Linked DNA regions of Sus scrofa. The protein of the gene in region 1 purifies or fractionates together with the protein of each later gene. This does not show direct contact. Links are inferred from orthologs where the notes say so. Each region holds a gene or a part of one and is shown on either strand. Other genes may lie near its edges.

Evidence for each region.
Region 2: the proteins of BICD2 (region 1) and E3 SUMO-protein ligase RanBP2 purify together in Homo sapiens (affinity purification with western blotting; 3 studies listed by BioGRID and IntAct, with this or other methods). This does not show direct contact. The link is inferred for Sus scrofa from reciprocal best matches to the Homo sapiens genes BICD2 and RANBP2.
Region 3: the proteins of BICD2 (region 1) and DYNC1I1 purify together in Homo sapiens (affinity purification with western blotting; 4 studies listed by BioGRID and IntAct, with this or other methods). This does not show direct contact. The link is inferred for Sus scrofa from reciprocal best matches to the Homo sapiens genes BICD2 and DYNC1I1.

Annotation. Positions count from the first base shown.
Region 1 is NC_010445.4:42,450,811-42,460,974, reverse strand, and holds the start of BICD2 (protein bicaudal D homolog 2), read left to right. Parts: upstream 1-4,153; 5' UTR 4,154-4,325; coding exon 4,326-4,565; intron 4,566-10,164. UniProt on the Homo sapiens protein: Acts as an adapter protein linking the dynein motor complex to various cargos and converts dynein from a non-processive to a highly processive motor in the presence of dynactin.
Region 2 is NC_010445.4:47,595,757-47,606,054, reverse strand, and holds the start of E3 SUMO-protein ligase RanBP2, read left to right. Parts: upstream 1-4,726; 5' UTR 4,727-4,834; coding exon 4,835-4,906; intron 4,907-10,298. UniProt on the Homo sapiens protein: E3 SUMO-protein ligase which facilitates SUMO1 and SUMO2 conjugation by UBE2I. Involved in transport factor (Ran-GTP, karyopherin)-mediated protein import via the F-G repeat-containing domain which acts as a docking site for substrates.
Region 3 is NC_010451.4:75,753,327-75,762,957, reverse strand, and holds the end of DYNC1I1 (cytoplasmic dynein 1 intermediate chain 1), read right to left. Parts: intron 3,381-9,631; coding exon 3,270-3,380; 3' UTR 2,431-3,269; downstream 1-2,430. UniProt on the Homo sapiens protein: Acts as one of several non-catalytic accessory components of the cytoplasmic dynein 1 complex that are thought to be involved in linking dynein to cargos and to adapter proteins that regulate dynein function.

The DNA.
Region 1 (10,164 bases):
AGCTGATCCACTGCAGCCGCAAAGCTGCTGGAGCTGGTACGCTATAGCCATGGGGCTGTCGCCAGAGCTGATACACTGCAGCGCAGGGCTGCTGGGTATCTGTCATAACAACATCACTTACCTTTGTCCCTAGGCCAAGGGTCACCCAGTTGTTCTTGGGGAGGGGCACCATGGATGTTCTCTGGCATCCCAGTCTGCCAAAGCTGCCTCCATTCCCTCATATTGTCCATCCCAGGGAGGGGTGTAGAGTCCAGGGAGTGGGGGATAGTAAGTACGGGCGGTCTCCACTGGTGTCCTGAGCCCCTGGTGTCGGTCAGGAGACTTCTGAGGCATGGTCCCTCCTGGAGCTGATATTCAAGGTAAGACAAAAGTGCAAAAATGAGTAACTTTAATGTATAGGATGCCATGGAGGAAGATAAAGCCAGGAAGGGGAGCAAGCCAGGAGGGCAGAAGGGCCACTCCAGAGACTGGGCAGGGTCTGGGAGATAATCAGCCTGTGCCTCTGGGAGGGGGCTGTGATCTTAAGGTTTGTGCCCTCACAATTTACATGTTAAATGCTAACCCCCAAGGTGAGGATGTTAGGAACAATGGGTCCTTTGAGGGTGATTAGGTCATGAGGCTGGAGTCCCCATGAGGAAATGATTGACTTTATAAAGAGGCCCCAGAGAGCTCCTCACCTCTCCTGCCATGTGAGAGAAGAGGAAGCGGGTTCACTGGAGGTTCTCACTAGATGCTGAATCTGCTGGCACCATGATCTTGGACTTCTAGTACCTTGAGAAATAAGGCTTGCTTATAAGCCTCCCAATTGTGGTGTTATTTTAACAGCCTGAAAATACCAAAAGGGTTTTGAGTAAGGGCATGTGACCTGCCTTGGGTCTGAAGAGCCTTCTGCTGCTGTGAGAGAAAAGATAGGGTGAGGGGGTTGGGGGAAGGCTAGTGGGGAAGTGAGTAAATAGTTCAGGTAGAAGGCAATAAGGTTCAAGCTACAGAGGGAACCACAGTTGGGAGGGCTGGAGGCTGAGGCTGGATCTGTCATTTACATACAGATTGGCAGATCAAATGAGGGGTGTAAGAAGTCCAAGGTGGTGGGAAGAATTTTGTCCTGAGCCTGTTTCCTCTTTTGTAAATCAGAGAGCATAATTCCCACCTCCTGGGGTGTTGGGAGGATTCAATGAGATGATGGAGGTCAAGTAACTGGCAATATTGGAGGCCTAGTTGGATCCTAACAAGCAGTGGCCCTGCTTCCTATCTTGCCAATCCCTTATACCAGCAGCCTGACCAGCCACTTTCTATGCATTCTTTGGGTCTCCTAAACCCTGTCCTGATGCCTGTCCTCCCAACACTATCACCCATCATGGCTCCTCTGGTGACAGGCCCTCTGTCCCCAGCACCTAGGAGAATCACTGCTTGTCCCCTTCCACAATCACTCTGTTTCCATTTTAAGCTCCACGGTCAATGCCTGCACCAGATTCCCACAGCCTTTTCCCCCTCTCCCTCCTCAGGCCAACCCCACATGAAGGTGTGGAGGGGGCAGGGTTTTGAGTTTGGCCAGCTTGGGTCAGAAGGGGCCACCACTTCTCACCATTCCTTCCTCCCACGTTAACCTTGCTCAAACAAGGCTTGTTCCTTCTCCCTGCTTTCCTCTATGATCTCACCCACTTAGACTAAATGATGCACCTAGGCCTGATGGTCTCCTAGGACTTGGTGCTCTCTGTGCAAAAGCCAGGTCAGACAGGCTGACTGGACATCCTACTCCTACTATGGGTAGGAGTATTGCCCTACAATTTTTTTTTAATTTAAAATTTTTATTGAATTTTTTTGGCCATACCTGGGGCATGTAGAACTTCCCAAGCCAGGGATGGAATCCACGCCATAGCAGTGACCCAAGCTGCTTCAGTGACAAAACCGGATCCTTAACCTGCTGAATTTTTTTAAATTTCACAAGTAAAATTATGCCAGTTTTTCCTCATACAAATCAAACCACTGAAAGGAATCAGGGCTCCTTGGAGAAATGGTTGATTCCAGGTCTGGGACAGAGAGTACAAGACAATACTGGAACAACTTTGCTAGAAAGTCAGAAAATGCTCAAAAATCATGGCATGTTGAAAGGACACAGAGCCAGCTGGACGAGCTCCTACTGGCCACATGTGCCATATTTGAACATTTAAGTGAATAAGGAGAGTAATGGATTGTAACTCATTAGGTAAAATAAGAACCCACAAATCCATACCACTAATGAATGAAATATCTTTCGACGAAGTGGAATAAGTACAGAAGGAATGATGAAAACAGAAAAAAAAGTATAATGGTAATTCATTTAGGCAAGAAATATCAATGGAAACTGGTAGAAAGTTTGAGGAACTCATACAACTCAATATCGAAAAAACAAACCACCGATTAAAAAAATAGGCTGGAGACCTGAATAGAAGGTCTCCAAGGAAGATATATGGATGGCTAACAGGCCCATTTAAAGGTGTTCAACATTGCTAGTTATCAAAAAAATGCAAATCAAAACCACAATGAGATATCACCTCACACATCTAGAATGGCCATCATCAAAAGGCCACAAATAACAAGTTGGTGAGGACATGGAGAAGAGAACCCTTGTACACTGTTGGTAGGAATGTTAAGTTGGTGCAGCCACTGTGGAAAACAGTATGAAGGTTCCTCAAAAAACTAAAAATTGAACCATCATATGATCCATTAATTCCACTCCTGGATATATATCCAAGGAAAATACTAATTTGAAAAGATACATGCACCCCAATATTCATAGCAGCATTATTTACAATAGCCAAGTTACAGAAACCTAAATGTCCATTAACAGATAATAAAGATTATGTGGTGTATATATATAAAATGGAATTTTGCCATTTGCAACAACATGGATGAACCTAGTGTATCATACTAAATAAGTCAGACAAATAGTATATGTTATCACTTTTAATAGTAGATAAAGAGATAAAGAGAACAAACTAGTAGTTATCAGTGAGGAGAGGGAAAGGCGAGAGGGGCAAAATAAGAGTAAGGGATTAAGAGGTACAAATTATAAAATACTTAAGCTAAAAGGATATATTGTACAGCATAGGGAATATAATCAATATTTTATAATAACTATAAATGGAGCACAATCTTTAAAAATAGTGAATCATTGTGTTGTACACCTTACTCATGTATCATAAATCAAGAATACCTCAATAAAAATTTCAAGAGCTTGAGGAGTGACGGGATAGTTGCAAAATCTAAACTGCCTTCTCATAGGATAGTAATAACAAAGGAATACCCTTGCCTCCTGACAGGATTCTGCGAATTTAGCACCCTGATGCTCCTGCCAAAGTGCATAACCTAATCTAACCATGGGGATGCATCGGTGTGTACACTTATGGCTTGCATGCCTCAGAAAGATCAAGGTCAAAGAGACAAAGAGGGAGAAAGTCTCCCAGCCTGAGCGAGAGTAAGGACTTAACTAGAACCCATGCTACAAGGGTAGGGCAGGGACGCGACGCTGGCTGGCCACGCGTCTCTGATTCGAGGCCACTGCAGTGACCTGGATAATCCTAGGGCGCATGGAAATGCCTAATTCTTAGAAAACAAGCAGGAGGCGTTTCGTACTTATTTGAGGCGAAGGTGGGCTCTACTGCTAGCGGTTTGACCATATCTTCCACTAAATACGTCCTGGGCTAGGCTGGCCTCGCCTGTCTGAGCCACCGGATTACTGTCCTCACAGCCACCCCGCCCGCGGTGCCCCCGCCGCGCCGGGCGTTCCACTCACGGCGGTTAGCACCGTGCCCGGCTCCACCCACCCACCGCTCAGCGCAGTCCACGGCCACCCCGGCCACCCAGCGCACCGCCGACCCTAGCCTCGTAAGTACCGCTGGGGGCACCGGAAAAATATCAGTTTCCGGCCTTGCGACGGCAGCTGCGCAGGCCAATCGCGGGCGAGGGCTGGCGGTCGTAGGGTACGACGGGTCTTGTAGTCGGTGGGCGAGCGGGACTACGTACCCCACATTGCCCCGCGCGGCGGCTGCGGAGGCGACAGCATGGGACGGGGCGGCCCGGGACAGGGCGCAGGCCAATCACGGGCGGGAGAAGACTGCGCGTGAAGCACGTCGGGTCTTGTAGTTCCCGCGGGCGGGACTGTGGTCCCCACAGTGCCCCGCGCGACAGCGAGCTTACTGCGGCTGCGTGGTGGTGGCGGCGGCGGCGGCAGCGGCGGTGGCCCGGGCGCCGTCGGGCTGGGTGGCGGCGGCGGCGGTTCCAGGGGCGGCGGGCGGGAGCCGGGCTTGAGCCTCGGAGGGAGTGGCACGACCCCGGCCGTGGCCACCATGTCCGCGTCGTCCGAAGAGGAGGAGTACGCGCGGCTCGTGATGGAGGCGCAGCCGGAGTGGCTGCGCGCAGAGGTGAAGCGGCTGTCGCACGAGCTGGCCGAAACCACGCGTGAGAAGATCCAGGCGGCCGAGTACGGGCTGGCAGTGCTTGAGGAGAAGCATCAGCTAAAACTACAGTTTGAGGAGCTTGAGGTGGACTATGAGGCTATCCGCAGCGAGATGGAGCAGCTCAAGGAGGTAAGGAAGGGCGGCCGCCGCCACGCCCTCCGCGCCCCCACCCCGGCCAATCCCCACACCCGACCCGGACTCCTCACCCCCGGGTCAGACAGACGTCAGCGCCGACCCCAGAGCTGTCCTCCGACCCAGGCCAAACTGACCTCGACCCCGGGACAGGCGGACCCCCGAACCGACCTCATATCCCAGGCCTTTCAGGCCAGCACTGGGGCGCCCTGGGTCGGAGGCTGCGCTGCTGTGGGGGGCGGGCCCCAGATGTGGTGGGCAGTGCGCGCTGTAGAAATTCTGGTCTCTGTGGCAAGGGCTGCTGTGGGGCCGTGTGGCCAGCCTGTCTACAGGCTCCTGATGCCAGGTCTTGGGCACGGTGGGGTGGCGTCCTTTGCGGTATTTGGCTTTCTGGGTGGGGGCATGGGATGGACACAGGTGACCGCCTGGGGAAGGACAGGCACATTACTTCTTTCATCTGGACTCAGCCGCCTTCAGCGGTCTCACAGTCTTCCGTGAACGCTGTGAGGCCATACCAGGGCCAAGTCGGGGGCTTGCTTTGCATGTGGCCACTGCCTGGACTACCCCACTGTCCCTCCCCGTGCTCAGCTCTCTCTGACCTCCCCACTAGTTACTTCTCTGGGATACAGTGCTTCCTTTGTCCACTTCCTGTCCTGGCTGCCTTCTCAGGCCCTTCCTTGCAATTGGGTGACAGGTCTGTGGATGCTTGTCATTGATAGAGCCTTGTGTCTCCTGTGCGATATACACTTGGGAGATCTGCAAGGTGGATCCCAAGGTGGCCAGAGAATCTTGCAGCCAGAGAGCTAGGCAGCCTTCCCACAAAGTAATTCTCATGGGTGATTTAAACATCCTTTTCTCTCCCAGTCCTCCCTGACTCCCCAGCCTTGTTGTGGAGGTGGGGAGGAAGAAGTTGCTTTCTGAGTGAAACACCTAGGTTTGGACCGAAACCTTTTCCCTTCCTGGAGGTGTGGCTGTGAGCAGGGGCCTTAGTGTCTTGCTCTGTAGCATCCCACCCAGAAGGGGTTGGTCTGAGGGATATTTGAAAAGTCCGGGCAAGGTGTCAGGCATCTAGCCTGTCAGTTTCTGTGAGAGCCTGCCCCTGCCCCACTTGACAATTCCCTTTTCCAGAGGGACCCTTGGCCCCTTGGCCTCAGGATCCACCATGCTTGCTGCTTCCCTAGCTGCCCACTTCCCAGCACCCCACTCCAGTGGCTCTAGGCAGGTGCCTGGACTGTTCTGAGCCTCCATGCTTCATGAGGGAGACCAGTTGGTCCCCTTCTGATAGCAGGGGAATTAATTCATGAAGGTATTTAAATCTATGCCTGTTCGAACAGGTGCCCGGTTAGTACCCGTAGAAGACTGATGTGGTATGGGAGTGGGGGTGAGGGAGCTCATGGACCCCAGGTCCTATATTGGTGCCTCCTCTGAGATCTTCAAGAGGGGCGACATTTGGCCTCTCCAGCAGGGGCCTCATCTTGGTGTGTGAAGTAGGGGAATGCGCCCAAGAAGGGGGGCTGAGGGGATCTTGAGACTATGGAGTGGGAGCACCCTAGGCTCACCCCCTCTGCAGCTCCTTGGTGAACCCAGCCCCCCCCCACCTCCACCCCCAGAGTGCATAGCAAGCCCCCACAGGCAGCATGCACAGTCCTCTTCTGTGTTCACAAGCTTGACTTGGTATCCCCTGTAAGAATAGACCAGAAGGGAAGATTGCACACAGAGCTAGCTACTCCTGCTTAGGAATCTTTCAGTTGTCAGCTCTTTACTGTTACACACATTTGGCTGGTGCAAGAATCTTGACTCAGTTTTGTAGGGTGTGTCTGGAGGGTGGGTCCCCAGGGGGATTGGGAAGACACTGTATCAGTTTGCACAGGTGTTCTTCAGGTGTCTGCTTGCTTCTTTTGATGTTACCTCCTGGCTCCCTCACACACTGGCTACATGGCCTTGGACACATCCCACTTTCCTGAACTTTGGTTTCCTCTGTGGCAGGTAGGATAAGAACCGTTCAGCTGGAAATCCCAGCAGAAGCTACAGGAAGGTGCATCACAGTCTTGGTAGATGTTTAAGGAAAGCTTGTACCAGTTTACTCAAACCCTTGTCAACCTCTCTAATTTTTTCTAATATTATTCTTGAAAGTATTGTTTCTTATTTGAAAAATCAAGATTTAACCAATATCTTTTTTATTTTTTTATTTTATTTTTAATTTTTTTTTTGTCTTTTTGCCATTTCTTGGGCCGCTCCTGCAGCATATGGAGGTTCCCAGGATAGGGGTCTAATCGGAGCTGGGGCCACCAGCCCATGCCACACCCATAGCAACACAGGATCTGAGCCACGTCTTCGACCTACACCACAGCTCACGGTAACGCCTGATCTTTAACCCACTGAGCAAGGCCAGGGATCAAACCCGCAACCTTATGGTTCCTAGTCGGATTCGTTAACCACTGCGCCACAGCGGGAACTCCCCAATGTCTTTTTTTAAAATTATTTTTCTGTAGAGAGATGAGCCATCTTCATTCTTTTAAAACTTTATTTCTTCAACTGTACTGGGTTCAGTTACTAAAAATTATCCTGCAAGTGGAGGCGCCTACATCCCTGCCTAGCATTTGTGGATAATACTGACTTTGAAGCGGGGAAGCTGACTGGCCAGTCCCAGGTCATTGGGTTTGTGACCAGACCTGAGGAGGATTCCGTGAGCCAGTGGGCAGTGGTGCTGGCCCTGCGGTCTTTCTCACTTGGTGAGTGTGTGTGTCCTGCTGAAACCAGGGTGTGTGCAGGGACCCACTGGCCCATTTTGTCTAACCATTTTGCTGGTGACTCATTCTGGCTTAATAATGTCCCCATCTGCCCCAAGTTCTTCTATACCCCCTTCCCAGCATGGTGGGGAAGAGAATTGGACAGATTTTGCGCCGTATGGTGTTTCCTAAGTAGCAGTGGAATATCTTACCCTGTGTCCTCAGCTGCAGTTTCAAGAAGGCAGGTGTGCTGGGCTGACAGTTCCTGCCTTGGGAGGGGGGGGTTGGGCAGGTACCATGAGTGGGTGGTTCTTGTAGGTTGGGAATGTGAGGGCTGGAGAGCATGCCCCAGGCCAGTGGCTGGGGTCCTGGTGCAGTCTCAGCCCCACCCTTGCTCAGCTCCCAGAGAGAGAAGGAAGATGAGGTATGGATGCCCTTGCTCTCTTCTCTGCCGCTTTGGGGTCTTATCAGTGCAGGTGGAATTTGGTGAGCTGCAGCCTGTCACAGGCTGGAACTGGTGCCCAGGATATATAGTAAGTGCTTACTCAATAAGTTTCTGCTAGCTGGTGTCATCAGCTCCTTCCCTCCATCTCACCCAGGCCTGGATCCCCTCCCTGCTGTCTCTGTAGTCACCTTGTCTCTGTTCATTGTTCTTTTGAGGTTTGGCGTGGCCCCACTGTGTCTCCCAGAGGGTGGCCTGAGCTGCTGCCTGGGGCCTCTGGCCTGGCTCAGCCTGTTCCCCCTTGTCCTGGTTGCTTTTACTGTCCTCACCCTGCCAGTCTTGGATCTTGAAAGCCCCGCCTGCCCTTAAAGGACTGGACGCTTTTCAAAGCCTCCTCTGGTCGCCACCTCTGGACTTACCTAAGCCAGCTCCCAACCTCCGGATGTCCCTCCCATGTGTAGGCTCAGCAGCCTCCTGAAGAACTGTGGCAGAGCTGGGGGGAGCAGCTGCTCTGTCTTCTTCCCTCCCTCATTCCCGTCCCTCTTGTAGTCTCCTCTCTCAGAGGATGGGGCAGCCAAGGTCAGGATGGGTGTAAGTGACTGAGGAAGGTCCTGTAGCTCAGACCGAGCTGTAAGTGGCTGTTGGACACCAGATTCCTGTCCATACCTTTGTAGAAGTCACTGCCAGGAGCTAGCTCATGGGGCAGTGGCGGGGGGCGGGGGTTGTTGAGGAGGGCCCCTCAGGCCTCACCCCTGTGGGGGAGCTGCTCCTGCCCTAGACTCCCCATGCCCCACCAACTCCTGCAGTCCTCCCACCAGCCCTTAGGGTCACCACTTTGTTATGTCTGTTTCTGGGGAAACTGAGGCACAGAGAAGTTGTGTTCCACTCAAGGCTGTGAGCCTAGGCATTCTTCCCCAAGAGGGCAGGCACTTGTGGAGGAGGAGGCCTCTGTGCAAGGCCCAGTCTCATCAAGTGTTTGCTTTAGGGCAGGAAAAGTCCTCATTTGGCTAAATCCTGTAAGGATTATGCTCATCTGGACCACCCTAGAACTTGGAGCAGAGGAGCAAGCAGCTGTGTACATCAGTGTTCTTGGGTGTGGCTTCGGATGTGTGGCCTGGGCGCTGTGAAAGAGCTGCCTTTCCACAACTGGTGCATGAGGGAGGCCAGGCATGAGTGTGGCGCTGCCTGGATAGGCAAGGAGGCGCTTCCTGTTCTGACCAGAGCCGTTGTTGTCCCTCTCTGGTTCTAGGGGAGCAACTGGACCCAGCCTGGGCCCTTTGGACCTGTGTGGCCGTGGAGGAGTGCCTCTGTCCTGAGGATCAGGCTGGTGTACCTAGTGCACATGGGCACATGGTGGCTGAGGCCCCGGGTCTGAGTAGCTGCCTCAGAGAGAGCCAGGGCCAGGTAGACACAGGCTTCTGCTGGGCCTTCCCACTTCAGGGACCCTGACCCCTTTCTGTGAAGGAGGAACTTACCCTTGTGAGTTTGGGGCAGCTACCCTTTAATCAGACCCGCTTCTCTACATCTATACACTGGTAAAAGGGCCACTGCACATGTCAAAGGTAAAGAAAGATTTGGTTTCTTTTTTTTCCATACCCTTGGCATGCAGAAGTTGCCAGGCCAGGGATCAAATCTTTGCCAGAGCAGTAACCAGAACCATAGCAGTGGCAATACCAGATCCTTAACCCACTGAGCTACCAGGGAACTCCTGGTTTCTTCTTAGACAGTGACGTGAAGGTGGCTAGTAGGCGGGGGCTGGCCAGGACCCTGCAGGCTCTGATGAATCCCATATTGTCTGGTGTTTGATGTCTGGCCCCTTGAGGTGTCCCCCAGAACAAGAGAGAGCACAGTGTGGCTGTGCAGCTGCTGTCTTGGGCATCAAAACCCTCTTTTCCAGCCCTGCTCTGCCATGGGAAGAGAACAGACAGCGGGGGTTGTGGGAGCAGGACAGGTCTCAGGGACACATGGTGAGATGGGCTGCCAGGCTCAGGCAGGTGCTGGCATGAAGGAGGATTGGGGTCTGGCTTCTTTAGAGCTTAATATGTTTTGAAAAACCATTCATTCGTTTTAGGAACATCAAAAAGCAGAAATGAGCAGGTCTCTGTAGGAGTTGTGAAGTATGTATGGGGAATTACTGGGTATTTCTACTTGCCAGCTTTTTTCTTCTTGTGTATGTATGTGACACACATATGATACTACAAAAAAAGAAGAAAGTGTTTTGAACATCTTATAATAGTTTGTTTTTGTTTTTGTCTTTTTGCCTTTTTTTTTTTTTTTTTTTTTTTTTTTGCTATTTCTTGGGCCGCTCCTGCGGCATATGGAGGTTCCCAGGCTAGGGGTTGAACCGGAGCTGTAGCCACCGGCCTACGCCAGGGCCACAGCAACGCGGGATCCGAGCCGCGTCTGCAACCTACACCACAGCTCA
Region 2 (10,298 bases), about 5.1 Mb from region 1:
CAGGCACCTTTCCTTCTCAGTGGCTGAGGTTCCTGGGCTCACGAATCCAACTAGTATCCATGAGGATGTGGGTCTGATCCCTGGCCTCACTCAGTGTGTTAAGGATCCCGTGTGGCTGTGGCTGTGGTGTAGGCCAGCAGCTGTAGCTCTGATTAAACCCCTAGCCTGGGAACCTCCATACGCCATGTGTGCAGCCCTGAAAAGAAAAACATAAAAAATAACATTTACATCAGCTCTAACTATTTTTAGCTATAAACAGCTCTAACCTACAAAACATGTACAGGACGTATATGCTTAAGAACCACAGAACACCACACACAGCGCCTGTGTGTGTCTTAAAGACCTGAAGAACTAACTGGTTCCCACCAGTGGACTGGGAGACATGGTAGGAATGGCAGGTTAAACATGTTAAACAATCAAGTTCCCAGGAAAACCTTTTATACAGAAAATTGATTATAGAATGTATGTAGAAAGGCAAAGGAACTGGAATATGAGAATTGTGACAAAGAAGCTCAGTTTTAAGACTGGTGTAGAACTTCAGTAATCAACAAAACAGTGAGGTGTCCGTAAAGAGACAGATGCATTAATCACTGAAATAAGATGGAAAGTCCAGATACAGATGCTCGAATGGTCATCTGAATTCTGTAAAAGTGCAGTAGCAATTTAATGAAGAAAGTATAGTCTAGGGCAATTGGGCATCTAAATGCAAAAACAAAAGCTCAATATAAACCTTCTGCCTAGGGGAGTACCAACTGTGGCTATGGTGTAGGCCAGCGGCTACAGCTCTGATTAGATCCCTAACCTAGGAACCTCCATATGCCAAGGGTTTGGCCCTAAAAAAAAAGAAAAGATTCATAAAAGGTCTGGTAGGTTGCACCTCATCAGAATCACAAAACATCTGCTCTGTGGAAGATGATGGGTAGAGAATGAAACAACGCACTGCAGATCGGGAGAAAACGTTTTCCAATACATGAAGGCCTGGAGTTCTTGTGGTGGCACAGTGGTAAGGAATCCAACTAGTATCCATGAGAAGGAGGGTCTGACCTCTGGCTTTGCTCAGTGGTTAAGGATCCGGCGTTGCTCTGAGCTGTGTAACTTGCAGATTTGGCTCAGATTCCAAGTTTTTGTGGCTGTGGTTAGGCCGGCAGCTATAGCTCTGATTTGACCCCTAGCTTGAGAACTTCCATATGCCTCAGGTGTGGCCCTAAAAAACAACAACAACAAAAATAATACATGAAGGCCACTCAAAACTCCACAGTGAGACTTCTGTCAGCGAAAACGGAGTTAACAACCAAGGTAAGAAGAAAAAAGGGGATTTTATTTGAGCGAAATTTAGGATTATAACCTGGGAAGCAAGTTCCCGGAAAGCTGAGAACCCTCCACTTGTTAAAAGTCAAAGGTACAGTCATATGTTTTCAAGACAAAGGATGGTACATCCAAGCGACACACTGATTGATATTTTACATGAAGTTCACCAAACATAAATAGTCCTGCTGAGCACATACAAAGGGCAGCGGGTCCCCATGACCTCCTACAGAGCTAGAAAAGAACACTAATTATTATTATTATTATTATTTGCATCGTTCAGGTCAAATCAAAGTTCCCCAGCCAGGAAATGAACCTGTGCCACAGCATCGACAGTGACAACTCTGGATCTTTACCCCTCTGCACCACAAAAGAACTCCAAGAAAGCTATTCTTTTAAGAAGTTAACATTGCCAGCTCAGGAAAAACAGGGAAAAATGATTTTTACCTTCGAGTGGGTACTCCCACTTTTTTTTTTTCCTTGCAGCATGTGGAAGTTCCTAGGGCAGGGATGGAACCCAAACCACAGCAGTGACAATGCTGGATTCTGGATCCATTGAGCCACCAGAGAACTCCTGAAAGCAGAAGTTTCGTTTTGTCTTTTTAGGGCCACCCCCATTGCACATACAGGCTCCCAGGCTAGGGGTCAAATCAGAGCTGTAGCCACCAGCCTATACCACAGCTCACGGCAACTCCGGATACTTAACCCACTGAGCGAGGCCAGGGATCAAACCCTCATCATCATGGATACTAGCCATTTTCGGTTCCACTGAGCCATGATGGAAACTCCTGAAAGCAGAAGTTTTTAAATGAAAATTATGTCCAAGAACAAACCATAACGTTGGTGGCAACAAGCAGTCATGTTGGTTCCTCCTGTTTTCTGAGGTTGTCTATGAACATTTTAATCTTATCATGTCTTCCAAGTTCAGTCATGAGAATTTTCTTAGGGCTACCTACAAAGCAGTCTTTTAGGTTTACTAGAGAATGATACAAATTTAGAAGCTGAGAAAATGATGGGATGAACTGACAGTATTATCAATGATTCTGAAGAAAAAAATGAATCATATGATACATGAAAGAGAATGTGTCTGCCACGGATGACAATCTGCCACAAGGACAGAGGGGCTTGAGTGGAAAAAAAAAAAAATGAGTTTGATCAGCTTCAGTGCTGGGTGCCCGTCAGTTAATTAATTCAGAAGTTGAGGGCTCAGATTAATCAGGTAAAACTGGCTAATAAAAAAAAAGTCGTAAGCCAGATATTTCTATGGTTTCAACTCTCATTTGAATTAAATTTGCAAGGCATCAACATGAGTGATTGAGGCATTAAAGTGGCATCTGACAACTTGCAAAGAACATTAGTTAGCTGTGTGATTCAGAGGAATTGCTTGTGAGAATAAGTTTGGATGGAACTGGTCCATGCTGAGAAAAGAAGGGACATCTTCCTGGAGAAGAATGTTCATTTTTAAAGCCCAGCAGAAGAGACTCATCCCCCCATTTGGCAAAAACCAAGGTTTCAAAGCATAATAAATGTACTTAAGGAAAGCCTTTTTTTTTTTTTTTTCTCTTTTTAGGCCACACCCATGGCATGTGGAGGTTCCCAGGCTAGGGGTTGAATTGGAGCTGCAGCTGCTGGACCACATCACAGCCACACAACGCAGGATCCTTAACCCACTGAGCAAGGCCAGGGATCGAACTTGCAATCTCATGGTTCCTAGTCACATTCGTTTCCCCTGTGCCATGACGGAAACTCCAAGGAAAGCCTTTTGAGAACGTCAAGATTTTCTCTTCAGCCTACTTCTTTTCTGTATCTTCAACTACAGCAGATTAAAAGTAGTCATTTTACTAGGTGTGCTTGGGAAAATTGCTTGACCATTCACGCCCTTTGTTTCTTTATAGGTCAATTTATGCACAATAATAAGAGTAACTTCACGAAATTGCTGGGAGAATCAAATGAAATTCACTTGCAAGTAAGCTTTGGCTATTATCACCAACACTGTCCACAAGGCTTATGACAGCCAAGTTGCCACAGAACCCAGTCCTACGACTTCACCTGCAGGCTGGGCATCTCCACTTGAATACACAAATGGAAACTCAGGTGAAATAAATCAACACCTAAAGTGAGATATTCCATCCAGGACCAGTTTTCTTTACACTGTACTTCCGTTAATTATGCCAATCCCAGTAGCAACCTCACAATTGATCCTGAACCCAGTTCCCTCTGCTTACAGCTCAACAGGCCAGTACATCGGGATACTGAGGCCAGGAATAATGACTTTAATTGGAAAGCCGGCAGACTAGTGTCTCAAAAAAACCATCTTGCCTTTCTCTGAATTCAGGTTCCTTTTGTACAGAGAAAGGGGAGGGGGAGAGGCCAGTGGTCACTCACCAATGGTCCCTTGCTTGGGGGAAAGGCCCACTGCAATGCTGACCTGAGGCTGAGCAGGACCACTAAAGTTCACCCACTAACAGTGGCTTGTTTACAGAATCATTCCTGCCTTAGTACTCTTATTCATATCCAAAATGACTGAAATGAAATAGGACGGGCTGATTTTCCCTCTTTACAGAGGCAGTAATTGGTCATTGCCAAGTTTGGAAAATGGGAGTTCCCATTGTGGCCCAGCAGTAACAAATCTGGCTAGTATCACAAATACCATGAGGGCTCCGGTTAGATCCCTGGCCCTGCTCTGTGGGTGTTGCCTGAGCTGTGGTGTAGGCTGGCAGCTGGAGCTCGGATTTGACCCCTGGCCTGGGAAGTTCCATACGCCGCAGGTGAGGCCCATAAAAAGCCAAAAAAAAAAAAAAAAAAAAAAAGAAGGAAGTTTGGAAAATGGAAAAATAAAAAAGGATAGATTCTAAGTGGCCAGGCGACTTTTAAGTGTTGGATAAAACCATAAAGTCTATAAGCAAAAAATAAAAATAAACCATAACTATAAATTCTAAACTCCCTGTATACACTGATGTGATCTGCTGAAATCTGAAACCTACTGAAAACACCTTATTTTTGCTTTGTAAGGCTACACCCAAGGAATACTGAAATTCCCAGGATAGGTGCTGAATCAGAGCTGTAGCTGCCCGCCTACACCATGGCCACAGCAACGCGGCATCCTTGTACCATTGAGCTAGGGCAGGGATCGAACCGGAGCCCTCATGAATATTGGTCGGGCTCTTTTCTATGGAAGCACAACAGGAGCTCCGGAAGACGCTTTCTAAACGCCTACGACTGGCGCCGAGGTGTGACTGTTAGGAACGTCCGTGGGTTGGACCAGTCCCCGTCGCCTCGTTGTCACTACGTCACCTTCGCATTCCCGCGCACCTCGCTAGCATAGTCACCACCGAACGCCGGCGCCCGAGGGCCTGCGCGGCGCACAGTGATGACGCAACACGCACGTACGCACGCATGCACGCACGCGTGTCTGCCCCTCGCCGGCTACGGAGCTGCGTCACGGACCTTCGGGCGCCGAGCTCCTGAGACGGCGGCAGCTGCGGCCTCGGCGCTGGCGTCCCTCGCGCGGACCCCGCTCGGCGGCGCGATGCGGCGTAGCAAGGCGGACGTGGAGCGGTACATCGCCTCAGTGCAGGGCTCCGCTCCGTCGCCCCGAGAGGTGAGCGGGATGGGCGCGCGGCCTCCGGGCGGGCCGCGGCGCCATGGCTCCCACTGAGGCGCGGCCGGCGCGCGGGGGGCGGGGAGGCGGCGGGCGGGCGTTGGCGCGGCGCTCCCTTCTGCTTTTCCTTCTCCTTCTCTTCCTCTTCGTCCTCTACGGCGCCCGGCCGGCCCCGCTGTGCCCACTGCCCGGGCTCCACGCCGAGGCGCTGCCGCTTCGGCGCGGCCGCCTCGCCATCCCTCACACTCTGCATTGGAAGCTGCTTTTGCCGACTTTCGTTTTCCCGCTGGGTCGCGGGGGTTCTGAGTTCCTTCCCGGGCCTTATTGCTGGGGTAGACGTAGATGTCTCTTAGGGTACTTCCCCTTGTTCCCACGTAGGGAGTTGGCCACATCGTGGATCCGACCGGACGTGGTGCCTAGAGGGGACGGGGACGGGGACGGCGAGTAGGGGGTGGGCGCAGGATCCCGAGTCACTTCCCTGGGGTGGAGTCATAGCTATGCTGGACACAGGCTGTGGGATTTGAAGCAAGTTCTGTTTATTTCGTTAATAGGGCGGAATCAGGCTACTGATAGGAGTTTTTAGTATGTCCCGTGTTAAACATTAACGGAAGTGTTTAGCGCATTAAGTGCTCGCAGTAGATATGGGTGTTAAAGTACAGTCATTTAAGGTGTTCCGGGTAGGGGAACTTCCATATGCTGCGGGCCTGGCTCTTAAAAATAAATAAATAAATACATAAAAATGGAAAAGAAAGGTGTTTTTTTTTTTTTTTTTTTAGTGCCATCTTGACAGTTGTGTATTGCTGTTGTCATAAACTTCCTCTGTCTTTCAAATTATGAATTCGTGGGAGGTCCCTGGTAGCCTAGTGGTTAAGGATCTGGTGTCACTGCTGTGGTTCAGGGTCAGTCTCTAGCCCAGGAACTCGCGCATGCCGCGAGGATCAACGCAGGATCCAAGCCACATCTGCAACCCACACCGCAGCTCACTATACCGCAGCTCATTTAAAAAAAAAAAGTATGAATTTGTGGGTTGGGGAAGAAAGGCTCTGTATATTCAATTCTGGTGTATTCCTCTTTTTGCTTTTTATTTATTTAGTCTTTTTAGGGCCGCATCTGCGGCATATGGAGGTTCCCAAGCTAGGGTCCAATCGGAGCTGTACCTGCCAGCCTAGCCAGAGCCACAGCAACGCCAAATCCCACCACGTCTGCGACCTACACCACAGCTCCCGGCAACTCCAGATCCTCAACCCATTGAGTAAGGCCAGGGATCAAACCCTCAACCTCATGGTTCTTTGCTTTTTAAAATCGTTTCTTGCTAACTACAGTTCTATCCTTCTTGACCTGTTTTTCTCGGGTGTTTAAGATTCCTGAATGAAGGTTAAGACTGTCTGTAGTTCGAGTACATACTATTAAGGCTGTACAGTAAATACTGTCATAATAACATTATGTGGAATTATTTCTTAGGTGTATGTCACTGTTTTGACATAAAATTAGAACATACATATATTTTTTGTTTTGTTTCATTTTTAGGGCCACACCTGTGGCACATGGAAGTTCCCAGGCTAGGGGTTGAATCAGAGCTGCAGCTGCTGGGCTACACCACAGCCAAGCAGGATCCAAGCCGCATCTTCGACCTACACCGCAGCTCACTACCCTGCAGCTCACAGCAATGACTGATCCTTAACCCACTGAGCAGGGCCAGAGTTCAAACCCACATCCTCATGGATACTAGTTGGATTTGTTATCACTGAGCCACATGGGAACTCCTAAAATTAAAGTATATTTTCATCAGCTTTATTGAGGAGTAATTTACATGCCATACAACTCATCATTCAAAATGTACAGTTTAGGAGTTCCCATCATGGTGCAGCGGAAACGAATCCGGCTAGGAACCACGAGGTTGCGGGTTTGATCCCTGGCCTCTCTCAGTGGGTTAAGGATCTGGTGTTGCTGGGAGCTGTGGTGTAGGTTGCAGACATGGCTTGGATCTGGCATTGCTGTGGCTCTGTTGTAGGCCAGAGGCTACAGCTCTGATTCAACCCCTAGCCTGGGAATCTCCGTATGCCTCAGGTGCGGCCCTAAAAAGAAAAAAAAAAAAGTACAGTGTAATGAGTTTTGGTACATTATATTGTTGATGTTTTAAATTATGGTAAACCAGGTGTAACAAAATTTGCCCATTTTAACTACTTTTACGTGTGTAATTCGGTAGTGTTAATTGCACAGGTAATGTGCCACTTTCACTACTATTTCCAAAATTTTTCATCACCACAAACAGAAACTTTGTAACTCTTGAGTGATAACTCCCTAGGTTCCTCTTCTCCCTAACTAACCCCCGGTTACATTTAATTTACTTCTGTATGAATTTGCCTATTTTATTTTATTTTGTTTTATGTTTTTGCTTTTTAGGGCTGCACCCACGGCAAATGGAGGTTCCCAGGCTAGGGGTCAAATCAAAGGTACAACTGCCAGCTTACGCCAGAGCACAGCAGTGCCAGAAGCGAGCCGCGTCTGCAACCTGCACCACAGCTCATAGCAATGCTGGATCCTTAACCCACTGATCAAGGCCATGGATCAAACCCATGTCTTCATGGATACTAGTTGGGTTTGTTAACCACTGAGCTACGACAGGAACTCCCCATCACCATCTATTGAAGAGACTCTTCTTTTTCCATTGAGTGGACTTGGCACGTTTGTCAGAAATCAGTTGGCAGTAGCTTTATGGGTTTATTTTTGAGCTCTCAATTTTGTTTCATTAGTTTGTTATGTCCATTCTTATGTCATTACCACGTTGTGTAATGTGGTAGTGCTGTAGTGTTGTAGTTCAGTTTGAAATTGGGAAGTGGTGAGTTTTCCAACTTTGTTCTATTTCAAGGATGTCTGTTTGGGGCCCCTGCAGTTCCATATGAATATAAGGATTGCTGTTCCCATTTCTGTAGAAAGGGTTATTTTTCATTGGCACTGCATTGACTCTAGATTGCTTTCGGTAGTTGACAATGTTAGGTCATCCATTCATGAATACGTCTTCCTCTACTTAGGTCTTTTATTTTTTTCAACAGTGTTTTAATTTTTCATTATATGGGTTTTTCACCCCCCTGGTTAAATTTATTCCCAGGTACTTTATTCTTTTACGTGCTCTTGTAAATGGGGCTGCTTTCTTAATTACCTCTTTTGCTTGTTCAGCACAGGTGACTTTTGTCTGTTGATCTTGTCCCCTGCAGTGTTGCTGTTTTGGTTTCTTAGCTCTAGGTTTTTTTTTGCATGTGTGGATTCTTTGTGATTTTCTCTATATAGGATTGTATCATCATATTAATAGAGATAGTTTCATTTTTTTCCTTTCAATTCAAATTTGGATGTTTTTTATTTCTTTTTCCTGTCTAAGTATTCTAACTAGAGCTTCCAATACAATATTAACTAGGAGAGGTGAAAGCCAGACTTCCCACTATGACACAGTGGGTTGGGAATCTGACTGCAGCAGCCCTGGTCTCTGCAGAGGTGTGGGTTAGATCCCCAGGCAGGTGCAGTGGGTTTAAAAGGAGCTAGCATTGTCGAAGCTGTGCCTTGCATTCAGTCCTTGGCCCAAGAACTTCCCTATGCCGTGGGTGCAGCCATTAAAAAAAAAAAGTGGTGAAAGGCATTCCTAATCTTGGGGAAAGCCTTTAATCTTTTATCACTGCTAAAAGATACTAGCTGTGGGCTTTTCACTAATGGCTTTTATAATGTTGTGGATATTCTTTGCTTTTTGAGAGAATCCTTGTATCCATAGTTTTCTGAGAATTTTTAGTCACGGATGGGTATTGGGTTTTGTCACATGCTTTTTTTGGTAGCATTTGAGATGATTGTGTGGTTTATTTCCTTTGCTCTTTTAATGTGATGTATTAATTTATTCATTTTCTTGTATTGAGCCCCTCCTTGCATTTCTGGTATAAATCCCATTCGATTATAGTGTGTAATACTTTTAACATCCTCTTAGATTCATTTTGCTGAGGGTACTTGGTTGAGAATTAGAGTTAAGAATTCTTTTTTTTGGAGTTCCCATCGTGGCGCAGTGGAAACGAATCCGACTAGGAACCATGAGGTTGCGGGTTTGGTCCCTGGCCTTGCTCAGTGGGTTAAGGATGTGGCGTTGCTGTGAGCTGTGGGTCGCAGATGTGGCTCGGATCCCACACTGCTGTGGCTGTGGTGTGGGCCGGTGGCTGTAGCTTTGATTGGACCCCTGGCCTGGAAACCTCCATGTGCTGCAGGTGTGGCCCTAAAAAGCAAAAAAAAAAAAAAAAAAAAATTCTTTTATTTAAAAATTTTTTTTCTTCTTTTTCTTTTTAGGGCCACACCCATGGCATATGGAGGTTCCCAGGCCTAGGGATCTAATTGGAGCTACAGCTGCTGGCTTACAACGCAGCCATAGCAACTCAAGATCCAGGTCTCGTCTTCGACCTATACGGCAGTTCACATCAAAGCCAGGTCCTTAACCCACTGTGTGAAGCCAGGTACCCAACCCACAATCTCATGGTTCTTAGTCGGATTTGTTTCTGCTGCACCATGACAGAAACTCCAAGAATTCTTTTTTAAATTAGACTTTTTGGAGTTCCCGTCGTGGCGCAGTGGTTAATGAATCCGACTAGGAACCATGAGGTTGCAGGTTCGGTCCCTGGCCTTGCTCAGTGGGTTAAGGATCTGGCGTTGCCGTGAGCTGTGGTGTAGGTTGCAGACTCGGCTCGGATCCCGAGTTGCTGTGGTTCTGGCGTAGGCTGGTGGCTATAGCTTCGATTCAACCCCTAGCCTGGGAGCCTCCATATGCCGCTTGAGCGGCCCAAGAAATAGCAACAACAACAACAACAAAAGACAAAAAAAAAAAAAAAAAAATTAGACTTTTTTCCTTTCTTTCTGTCTGTCTGTCTGGTTTTTTTTTTTTTTTTTTTTTTGCTTTTCAGGGCTGCACCTGTTGTATATGGAGGTTCCCAGGCTAGGGGTTGAAACAGAGCTGCAGCTGCTGGCCTACACCACAGCCACAACCACTCAGGATCTGAGCTTCATCCTCCACCTACACCACAGCTAACAGCAATGCTGGATCCTTAACCCACCAAATAGAGGCCAGGGATCAAACCCACAACCTCACGGTTACTAGTCAAATTTGTAACCTGCCGAACAACAGTGGGAACTCCCTAATTAGACTAATTTTTTAGAATGGTACTTTCACAGAGTTCCTGTTGGGGCTCAGTGGTTAACCAGACTAGTATCCATGAGGATACAGGTTCGATCCCTGGCCTTGTTCAGCGGGTTAAGGATCCTGTGTTGCTGTGGCTGTGGTATAGGCCAGCAGCTACACCTCTGATTCTACCCCTAGCCTGGGAACCTCCATATGCTGAGGGTACAGCCTTAAAAAGACAAAAGACAAAAA
Region 3 (9,631 bases), on another chromosome or scaffold:
TTAAATTAAAAATTCATAATGATTGTAAAATTCATGTGGAAAGCCAAAAGGCCTAGAAAAGCTGAAACGATGTTTCACAATGAATAACAGAATTGGAGTACCTAACACTACCTGATTTTAAGACACAGTAAAAGCTGTAACAATCAAGACAGTGTTGTATTGTATAAGGACAAATTCGATGAAATGTAGTAGTGGGTACCTAGACTGACCATTCCTGGCTTCGGTGGTTAACAGCCTCTGCCTAGCCACTGTTACTTCGAGGTCTCGTCATTTCTATAGATATTAAAAAGTTCTTCTCTGTGACTGTCTCTCCTATAAGCTCTCACCTATAACAGAGACCGCCACTAAAATAGCTAGAGATGCTTTTGCCTCTCTCACTAGCTCATTGCTACTAATGGCTTTGGTGAAGCGTGTATACTCTTGGGGCACCAGGCTAACTCTAGGATATGTCTTCTGGGCTCACAATATATCCATTCTTACACGTTTACTACCCTCCTCCTCTTTATTCCTATTTGTACTATCAGTCAGGGCAACTCAGACATTTTCATTTTATTAAATGTAGGCCACAGCTTTTTCAGACTTCTGAGGGCCACTGTAACAGCAACCCTATGCCCTGCCATACTATGTCCTTGCCAGAATATAAAATCACATAGCCCCAAAAAGGGCCTCAAAGTCAATGAATTCTTACCTATCTGGTCTTAGATTCTGGCCCTCTTAGTCAAACTCCTCAAAATCCAACCCCAGTGCTATCTCTCTGGCCTCTAATGGCACATGCTAATTCTTATAACTGTTTTGGTGTATAGTCTCATTACTCCCTGATCAGGCTCAGCATGGCCTCAGCACATTATGCTGAGAGAGTCATCAGTGTGATATTGATCTGACCCTAAGAAAGAGGGAGGGAGGGAGGAAAGGTAGAAAGGGAGGAAGGAGGAGAGAAGGTGAGGTTGAAGGTAGGGGGTCAGGGAGGAAGGGAAAAAGCAAGGTAGAAAGGAAAGAAGGTAGATTAGTCTTAGACTTAGTAGGGTTCCAAGAAAGTTTTAGCCATGCTTACAGGAAGTCCTTGAGACAGTTAACATCTCAGAGAAATCTTCCATCTCCCAGCAACAGGCCTGCCTTACTATCCTTGCCATGCTCAGTTTTGGCTGGAAGCAGCCTGTGGGAAGCATGGCCTTGGTCAAACCAGGTGATGGAGTTTTCAGAGCAAAGCAGCTGGAGCTGTCAGTCAATTACCGTCTTTGCAATAAGAGGTCTAGTAGAGGCAAATTTTCATGGCTCCCACGTTCTAGCTGGGACAGCCTGAATGGCTGTGGGCTGGCTGGCTATCTATATATCTGCATGGCTACTCTATGATGAGCTTAGGCATTTGTACAGCCTAGGAATCTCAGGGTAAGTTGTACTTGCACAATGGCTTGGGGATTTAGAGGGAGTGTGCCAAGAGACCCAGAAGGAAGCTATAAGTCTTCTTATAACCTTGTCCTGAACCCCACATAGCATCATTTCCCCCATAGTCTTTATTTACACAAGGCCATCCCACATTCATGATGGAACAACACAAGAAGTGAGAGACCATCTTGGAGACTAGCTACTGTAGTGGGTTATACACACACGTAACCACTTGTAATTCTTCGTGTGCCTGCTACAAGTGACTCTGGCTTTGGCACTTTTCATAGTCTTCACTCACTGAAGCATTTAGAGTTTGGTCTATAAGTGACTCACGGGAGGCTGATTTGTTCTTAGATCCTTTAGCACATGTTTGAGAAACTTTTCCCCCAGTACTTTTCGTTGGATTGCTTTTATACCTATTTTGGACACTCATAGTTTATCTTTACAAATTTAACTGACAAAGAGTTTCAGTATTAACATACCATATGGCACTTACAGAAAAGCATATCGTTATTTCAAAAATAAAAATCTCTCAGGTCAGAGAATCCCTCCCAACAAAGCACCATGGAAATTCTCTTCCTAAAGAGCCAAAGACTACCTTCAAATGTTTTTCATGACTCAACCACTATTTATTTTAATTCTCTCTAGGCATGAAATGACTTTTTGAAAAAAAAAAGTCCTGTAAAGTTGTTTATAGACATTTCCTAGTTCAATAGTAATAAACATAATTTTCTGGTATAAATTTTAAAATAATGAAATATGTTAGATATGTGATACTTGTTCATTTAAACCTGTTCTTCTTACTCCAGTGTTTGAGACAATCTTGGGTAAAAGTGGCTTTGGTAAAGACAAGAAAGAGCTTTCCATAAATACCACACACGTTCCTTAATAAAAATAAAACCAGTCTTGGTTTAAGTCCAGCTAGGCTGCCTGCCTGTAAATTCATTATCAGTCTTTAACATGGCCCTAATGTATCTCTCCTACCCCCTGGCCACAGCAGAATTTTAATCAGGCTTTTCCCAAGCAAAGGATTTATCCACACTGGTGCAGACTTGATTTGGAACATTTTATTGGCAATACTGGTATCATATTTAGGAACCACAGACTTTTGTCACAGTGGGTTAGCTTGAATGACAAGTATCAATGGTCAACTATATTTGAAATATTGTTAAAGTACCTGGAAGTAATAGGCATTAAAATTCATTCCATTCATTGCAACAAACCTCTAAAGATTTCATGTCCTCAGTGGAACTGGCATACTGTAATTGTTATTTGGAACTTAATGTAACCTCAACAGCAACAGAGAGACAATGCGGTCCTCTCATTATGCACATGCTCTAGGATCGTTTATTTTAATGCTTTCAAATAAATATGTTCCATGCAGCACACCACAATAAATAAGGAGCAGCAATGTTCTTCTAGTAAATCCATTCATAATGTGAGTCACCACCATGTAAAACACCACATCTCAAGTCTCTGGCCCTGTCCCATATCATGAAGTACACCACATCTGCACCTAATCATATCTGGCTTCATATGGATTTAATAGGACTATGCCAGAAGTGCATGTAAGCACAAATTTAACCAGAGGTTTCCAGCTATTAAATACAGCTACTAAGTAGTTAAAAGGCAACAACTAAACCCATAAAGGCTCCACCCCCACCCCCATTTTTGAGACAGAAATATAAAGGTAGAAATGGTCTGGTGAATTTCAGGTCAGTGGACAGTAGGGTGGGATACATTTGGAATACTTGGAGCAAAGCAGGTACAACATGGCACCCCAAGGTCATGGCAATACTGATACTGAATGGACACTTAATACAAGTGGACTTGACGACTGCAGAGGCCGAGTTTGAGAAGGTCAAGGTGGGGGCAGTTCATTTCCACTAGGCGGTTAACTCAACAGTGCCTTCCTCCTCGCTATCAGCTCTGTTGGCGCGGATCTCCACGAGGGTCCTGGCAAATCGGGTCCACTCATCATTGTGGGGAACTGCGAGCTGCAAAGCAAATTAATGGAAGATGGTGAACAACATCTCTTTTATGTCTGAAAACTGAAGCCCATAGACTGTTGCTCCTGAAACAGACGTTTCCCCTGGAATGTAAAGAGTACCAGACAGTCGTCCTTGAATCAGATCGCTGAAGTATTGCTCTTAAACTGACAATTCAGGAGAATAATGTCATTCTCAGAAGCAAAATCACTCATGGGATTCAGAAAATATTAAAAACTTATGTGAACTGTACCATTAATATAGCAGCTATGTTAAAGCCCTTTCAGTGATGAAACTTCATCCTAAGAAGACCAGACTTACAGTGAGAACGACAAATAAAAACTGCTTTATTAGGAATTTTTAAATAACCATGATATTGTCTTAATAAGTGAATGCTATTGATTCCTTTTCAAAAAAGGGCTGCTAATATGCCAATATACATGACAAGAGTATAAATTACACATACGAAGAAATCTTACTACTGTGATATGAAGCTCTGGCTTTTCTATATGATGGTGCCTGTGAATAATAATAATAGTAACTAAGAGTTCTGTGTTACATATTCTACATATATTCTACTCATTCTTAACAGCAGTCCTATGTAGGATAATGTTAGTATTTTCATTTTACAGAAGAAACTGAGACACAGAAAGATTAAATCATTTTGCCAAGCTTGCAAAACTAACAACTATCAGTGCCCATGTCTTCTGGTTCCAGTATTTACATCTTTACCCAGTATGCTATAATGAATCACTGAAAAGGAGAATTTATAAAATTTCCCACATAATATCTTCTCCTGTGCAGAATTCAGTGAGGAGAAAATTAACTCCACCTGACACAAACTGCATGTATGAGTTTTTGTTAGCTGATTTAAAGGATAATGATTTCGCTACATAGCATTCAAAAATGAATTGTTTAAAGATATCATACAAGTGTTTGGAATAAAAAAAATATTTGAAGATGAGAAACAGGATAAAGTAGAAGTTTGAATGGTGTTCACATAGGATAAAATTTATTTAAACTGTGGAGCGGAGCCATTTTCTTGGAGGATTACCGTATAAGACGATGTAAACCATCAACAAATACTAGTTCTCCACAGGCTATCCATACATTCCATAAGCATTAATGGCACTCATTTGTTGCAATCAACATACATTTTCAAAAATAAAAAAGTAAACAAATCTAAACTTTGTGATCACATTTACAGCTGAAAGATTGCTTACAATATGAAGCCAAATGATTAGATTCTCTTAAAATTTTTATTACAGTGGATGATATTCTCAGATACCGTCTACCCAAGACAACTTACTGGGAAGTGGCAACATCATCCTACAAAGTATATCCTTCAATTAACGGTCTGGTCTTGAGGTTAAATGTTTCCAGGATATAATTCTGGAAATGATATACAGGTGGGGTAAGTTTTTTTAAAATGATTTATTTTGGTACTTCTTACTTTCTTATGTCTGATGTTGAGAAATGCATAAATTCTCATGTAGTTCTGAATGCTTAAATACTTCCCTAGTTACTGAAGTGCATCCAAATTCTTTTTTAGACAATGACACAAGTCAACAATAGTCTTAAATGGCACTGTTACCCCTTTGCTCAGTTCATTTTCTCTAATTTTGAGCTCTTTTCTCTGTTCCGCTACTATTCATTTTTCTCTCCAACTTTAGAAACTACTATACTGGGGAAATGAAGTCCTCAAAATCAATTATACAAAAGAGCTAATCAAAAGCAAGAGCAGCAATGGGTTGGCAACACATTTATAAAGAGTAGGTCCATTATTTCTTGTCTCTTCTCCATTTACTGACCAAATCTTCCCAAAAAAGAATCACAAAAGCCCAAGAAGAGACAAAAGCCAATCATGATAACATTTATAACTTTTTTTCATATAAGGTGAGAATCAAATTAAAATACCTCATAACTGCATATAACATTAAATATTGGGAAAAAACAGGTCTAACTAATAAAAGCTATACACTCTAAGGGTTTGGCTCCTAAAAACAACACTGTTATCTATTATTGGTACAGCACAGGGAACCATGTTCAATCTCTTGTGGTAGAACATGATGGAAGATAGAAAAAGAATGTATGTATGTATGACTGGGTCACTTTGTTGTGCAGCAGAAATAGAACACTGTAAATCAACTATAATTTCAAAAAAGATTATGAAACATTAAGGTTTGAGTATATGTCCAGATACAGTCTGGAACAGAATTAAGTATCATTGTGACATATATAGTTGCACATCTAACTTTCCAAAAATGAATTTTCTGAAATCTCAATATTCCTTTGTTAATCAAAGTATTTTATTTAGGTGTGATTTACAATGTTCTGGTTTAGAGCACATATATTCTTTTTCAGATCCTTTTCCCTTATGTGTTATTACAAAATATTGACTATAGCTCCCTATGCTATATAATAGATCCTTGTTGGTTATCTATTTTACATATAGTAGTTTGTGTACATTAATACACAACTCTTAATTTATCCCTCCCCGTCTTCCCCTTTGGTAACCGTGAGTTTATTTTCTATGTCTCTGGGTCTATTTTGGAAATAAGTTCATTTTTTATTTTTTAGATGCCCACATAGAAGGAGTATTATAGGGATTTGTCTTACTTCAATAAGTGCAATAGTCTCTAGGTCCATTAATGCTCCTGTAAATGGCAGTATTTCTTTTCTTTTTTTTTTTTTTTTTGTCTTTTTGCCTTCGCCAGAGCCACAGCAACTCGGGATCCGAGCCACGTCTGTAACCTACACCACAGCTCACGGCAATGCCAGATCCGTAACCCACTGAGCAAGGTCAGGGATCAAACCCACAACCTCATGGTTCCTAGTCGGATTCGTTAACCACTGAGCCACGATGGGAACTCTAGCATTTCATTCTTCTTTATGACTAGGTAATATATTCCATTGTATATATGGACCACATCTTCTTTATCCATTCATCCGTCAATGGACATTTAGGTTGCTTCCATGTCTTGGCTATTGTAAATGGTGCTGCCAGGAACACTGGGGTGCATGTACCTTTTTGAATTATGGTTTTCTCTGCATAGATGCCCAGGAGTGGGGATTGCTGGATCACATTGTATCTCTATTTTTAGTTCTTTTCTTTTCTTTTCTTTTTTAGGGCCATATGTGGCAAATGAAAAGTTCCCAGGCTAGGGGTCGAATCTGCTGTGGCTGCCAGCCTACACCATAGCAATGCTGGATCTGAGCCATATCTGCAACCTACACCATAGCTCACAGCACCGCCAGATCCTTAACCCACTAAGCAAGGCCAGGGATCAAACCCGCATCCTCATGGATGCTAGTTGGGTTCATTAGCTCTGAGCCACAATGGGAACTTCTATTTTTAGTTTTTTAACTAACCTCCCAAACTGTTTTTCATACTGGCTACACCAATTTACATTCTCACCAACAGTGTGTGGGGGGGTTCCCTTTCTCCACACCCTACAAATAATTTATTAGTTGTAGACTTTTTGATGACGGCCATTCTGACTTGAGTAAGGTAATACCCTGTTATGGTTTTGATTTGCATTTCTTTAATAATTAGTGATACTGAGCATCTTTTCATGTGCCTGTTGGCCATCTGTGTATCTTTTCAGAAATGTGTATTTAGATCTTCTGCACATTTTTGGCTTGGGTTGTTTGTTTTTTTGATATTGAGCTATATTAGCTACTTGTATATTTTAGAAATTAATCCCTTGTCGGTTGCATTGTTTGAAAATATTTTCTCCCATTCTTTAGTATGTCTTTTTGTTTTATGGTTTCCTTTGCTGTGAAAAAGCTTTTAATTATGTCCCATTTATTTATTTCTGTTCTTATTTCCATTATTCTAGGAGACAGATGTAGTTAATTGCTAGAATTTATGTCAAAGAGTATTCTGCCTATGTTTTCCCCTAGGAGTTTTATAGTATCCAGTCTTAATTTAGGTCTTTACTCTATTTTGAGTTTATTTTGTGTTAGAAAATGTTCTAATTTCATTCTTTTACATTTAGCTGTCTGGTTTTCCCAGCACCATGTATTGAAGAGGCTGTATTTTCTCCATTGTACATTCTTGCCCCCTTTGTCACAGGTTATTTGACCATACATGCACAGGTTTATTTCTGGGCTTTCTATCCTGTTCCATTGATCTATAGTCTACTTTTGTTTCAGTACCATACTGTTTTGATAACTGTAGCTTTGTAGTATAGTCTGAAATCAGGGCGGCTGATTCCTCCATCTCCATTTTTCTTTCTCAGGATTGCTTTGGCTATTTGGAGTCTTTTGTTTCCATACAAGTTAATTTTTTTGTTCTGGTTCTGTAAAAAACTGCCATTGCTAATTTGATAGGGATTGCACTGAATGTGTAGATTACCTTGGGTAGTACAGTCATTTTAACAATATTTATTCTTCCAGTCCAAGAACATGGTTTATCTTTCTATCTCTTTGTATTGTCTTCAGTTTCTTTCATCAGTGTCTTGTAGTTTTCAGAGTACAAGTCTTTTACATTCTTAGGTAGGTATATTCCCATTTATTTTCTTTTTGATTCAATGGTAAATGGGATCATTTCCTCAATTTCTTTTTGATCTTTCATTGTTAGTGTATAGAAATTCAATGAATTTCTGTGTATATTGTTATTAATATGGTAATAGTTATTTTACTTGTTAAAGAAATCAAAGTAACAATTTTAATATTTTTCATTTATAAAACATTAAATTCAGAGGTTAAGTTTAAATAAGTTTCACCAAAATCTTTGAAGATTTTTTTTAATTTTAATATAGTTGAGTTAAAATATTTTGTTTCAGGTATACAGCAAAATGATTCAATTATACATATTACATTTACATGTAAGTGTATATATCATTTTCCTCATATTTTCCATTATAGGCTATTAGAAAATATTGAATATAGTTCCCTGTATTACATAGTAAATCTTTGTTGCCTATCTATTTTATATATATTTTCTCTGTTAATCCCATATTCCTAATGTACCCCTCCTCCCATTTTTCCCTGTGGTAACCATAAGTTTTCTATGTTTGTGAATCTGTTTTGTGTATTTTGTATATTTGTAATTATATATATTCATTTGTATCATTTTTTTAGAGTCCACATATAAGTGATATATAGTATCTGTATTTCTCTGATTTATTTTAGTTGGGCATTACTTTCTCTAGGTCCATCCATGTTGCTGAAAATGGCAGTATTTCATTTCTTTTTATGGCTCAGTAATGATCAATTGCATAATATATACCACATCTTAATCCAGTCATCTGTTGATGGGCCCCCACTGGTTTGCTTCCATGTCTTGGCTATTTATAGCGCTGCTATGAACATTGGGCTGCATGTGCTTTTTGAATTAGAGTTATGAATCTTTGCCAGATATATGCCCAGGAGTAGGATTGCTGGATCATATGGTAACTCTATTTTTAGTTTTTTTAAAGAAACTCCAAACTATCTTTCATAGTGGGTGCACCAATTTACATTCCCACCAACAGTGTACAAGTTTTCCCTTTTTACCAAACCCTCTCCAGCATTTATTATTTGTAGACTTTTTGATGGTCATTCTGACCAGTGTAAGGTAGTACTTCATTGTGATTTTGATTTGCATTTCTCTAGTAATTAGTGATGATGAGCATATTTTTCATGTACCTGTTGGCCATCTATCTGCATGTCATCTTTGGGTAAATGTCTATTTAGGTCTTCTGCCCATTTTTCAATGAGGTTGTTTGGTTTTTTGAAACTGAATTGTATGAGAGCTATTTGTATATTTTGGATAATAACCCCTTTTCAGTTGCATCAAATATTTTCTCCCATGCCATAGGTTGCCTTTTTTGTTATGGTTTCCTTTGCTATATAAAAGCTTATAAGTTTGATGAGGTCCTGTTTATTTCTTTTATTTCTTTTGCTTTGAGGGACTAAACTAAGAAAACATGGCTATGATTTATGTCAGAAAATGTTTCGCCTGTGCTGTCTTCTAGGAGTTTTATGGTGTCATGTCTTATATTTAATTCTTTAAACCATTTTGAATTTATATATGGTGTGAGGGTGTATTCTAGTTCCACTGATTTACACACAGCTGTCCAGCTTTCCCAGCACCACTTGTTGAAGAGACTGTTTTTTTTCCATTGTATATTTTTGCCTCCTTGGACAAAGACTGACCACTGTGGGTTTACTTCTGGGCTCTCTATTCTGTTCCATTGATCTCTATGTCTGTTTTTGTGCCAATACCACATTGTTTTGGTTACCATAGCTCTGTAGTGGTTTCTAAAGTCTAG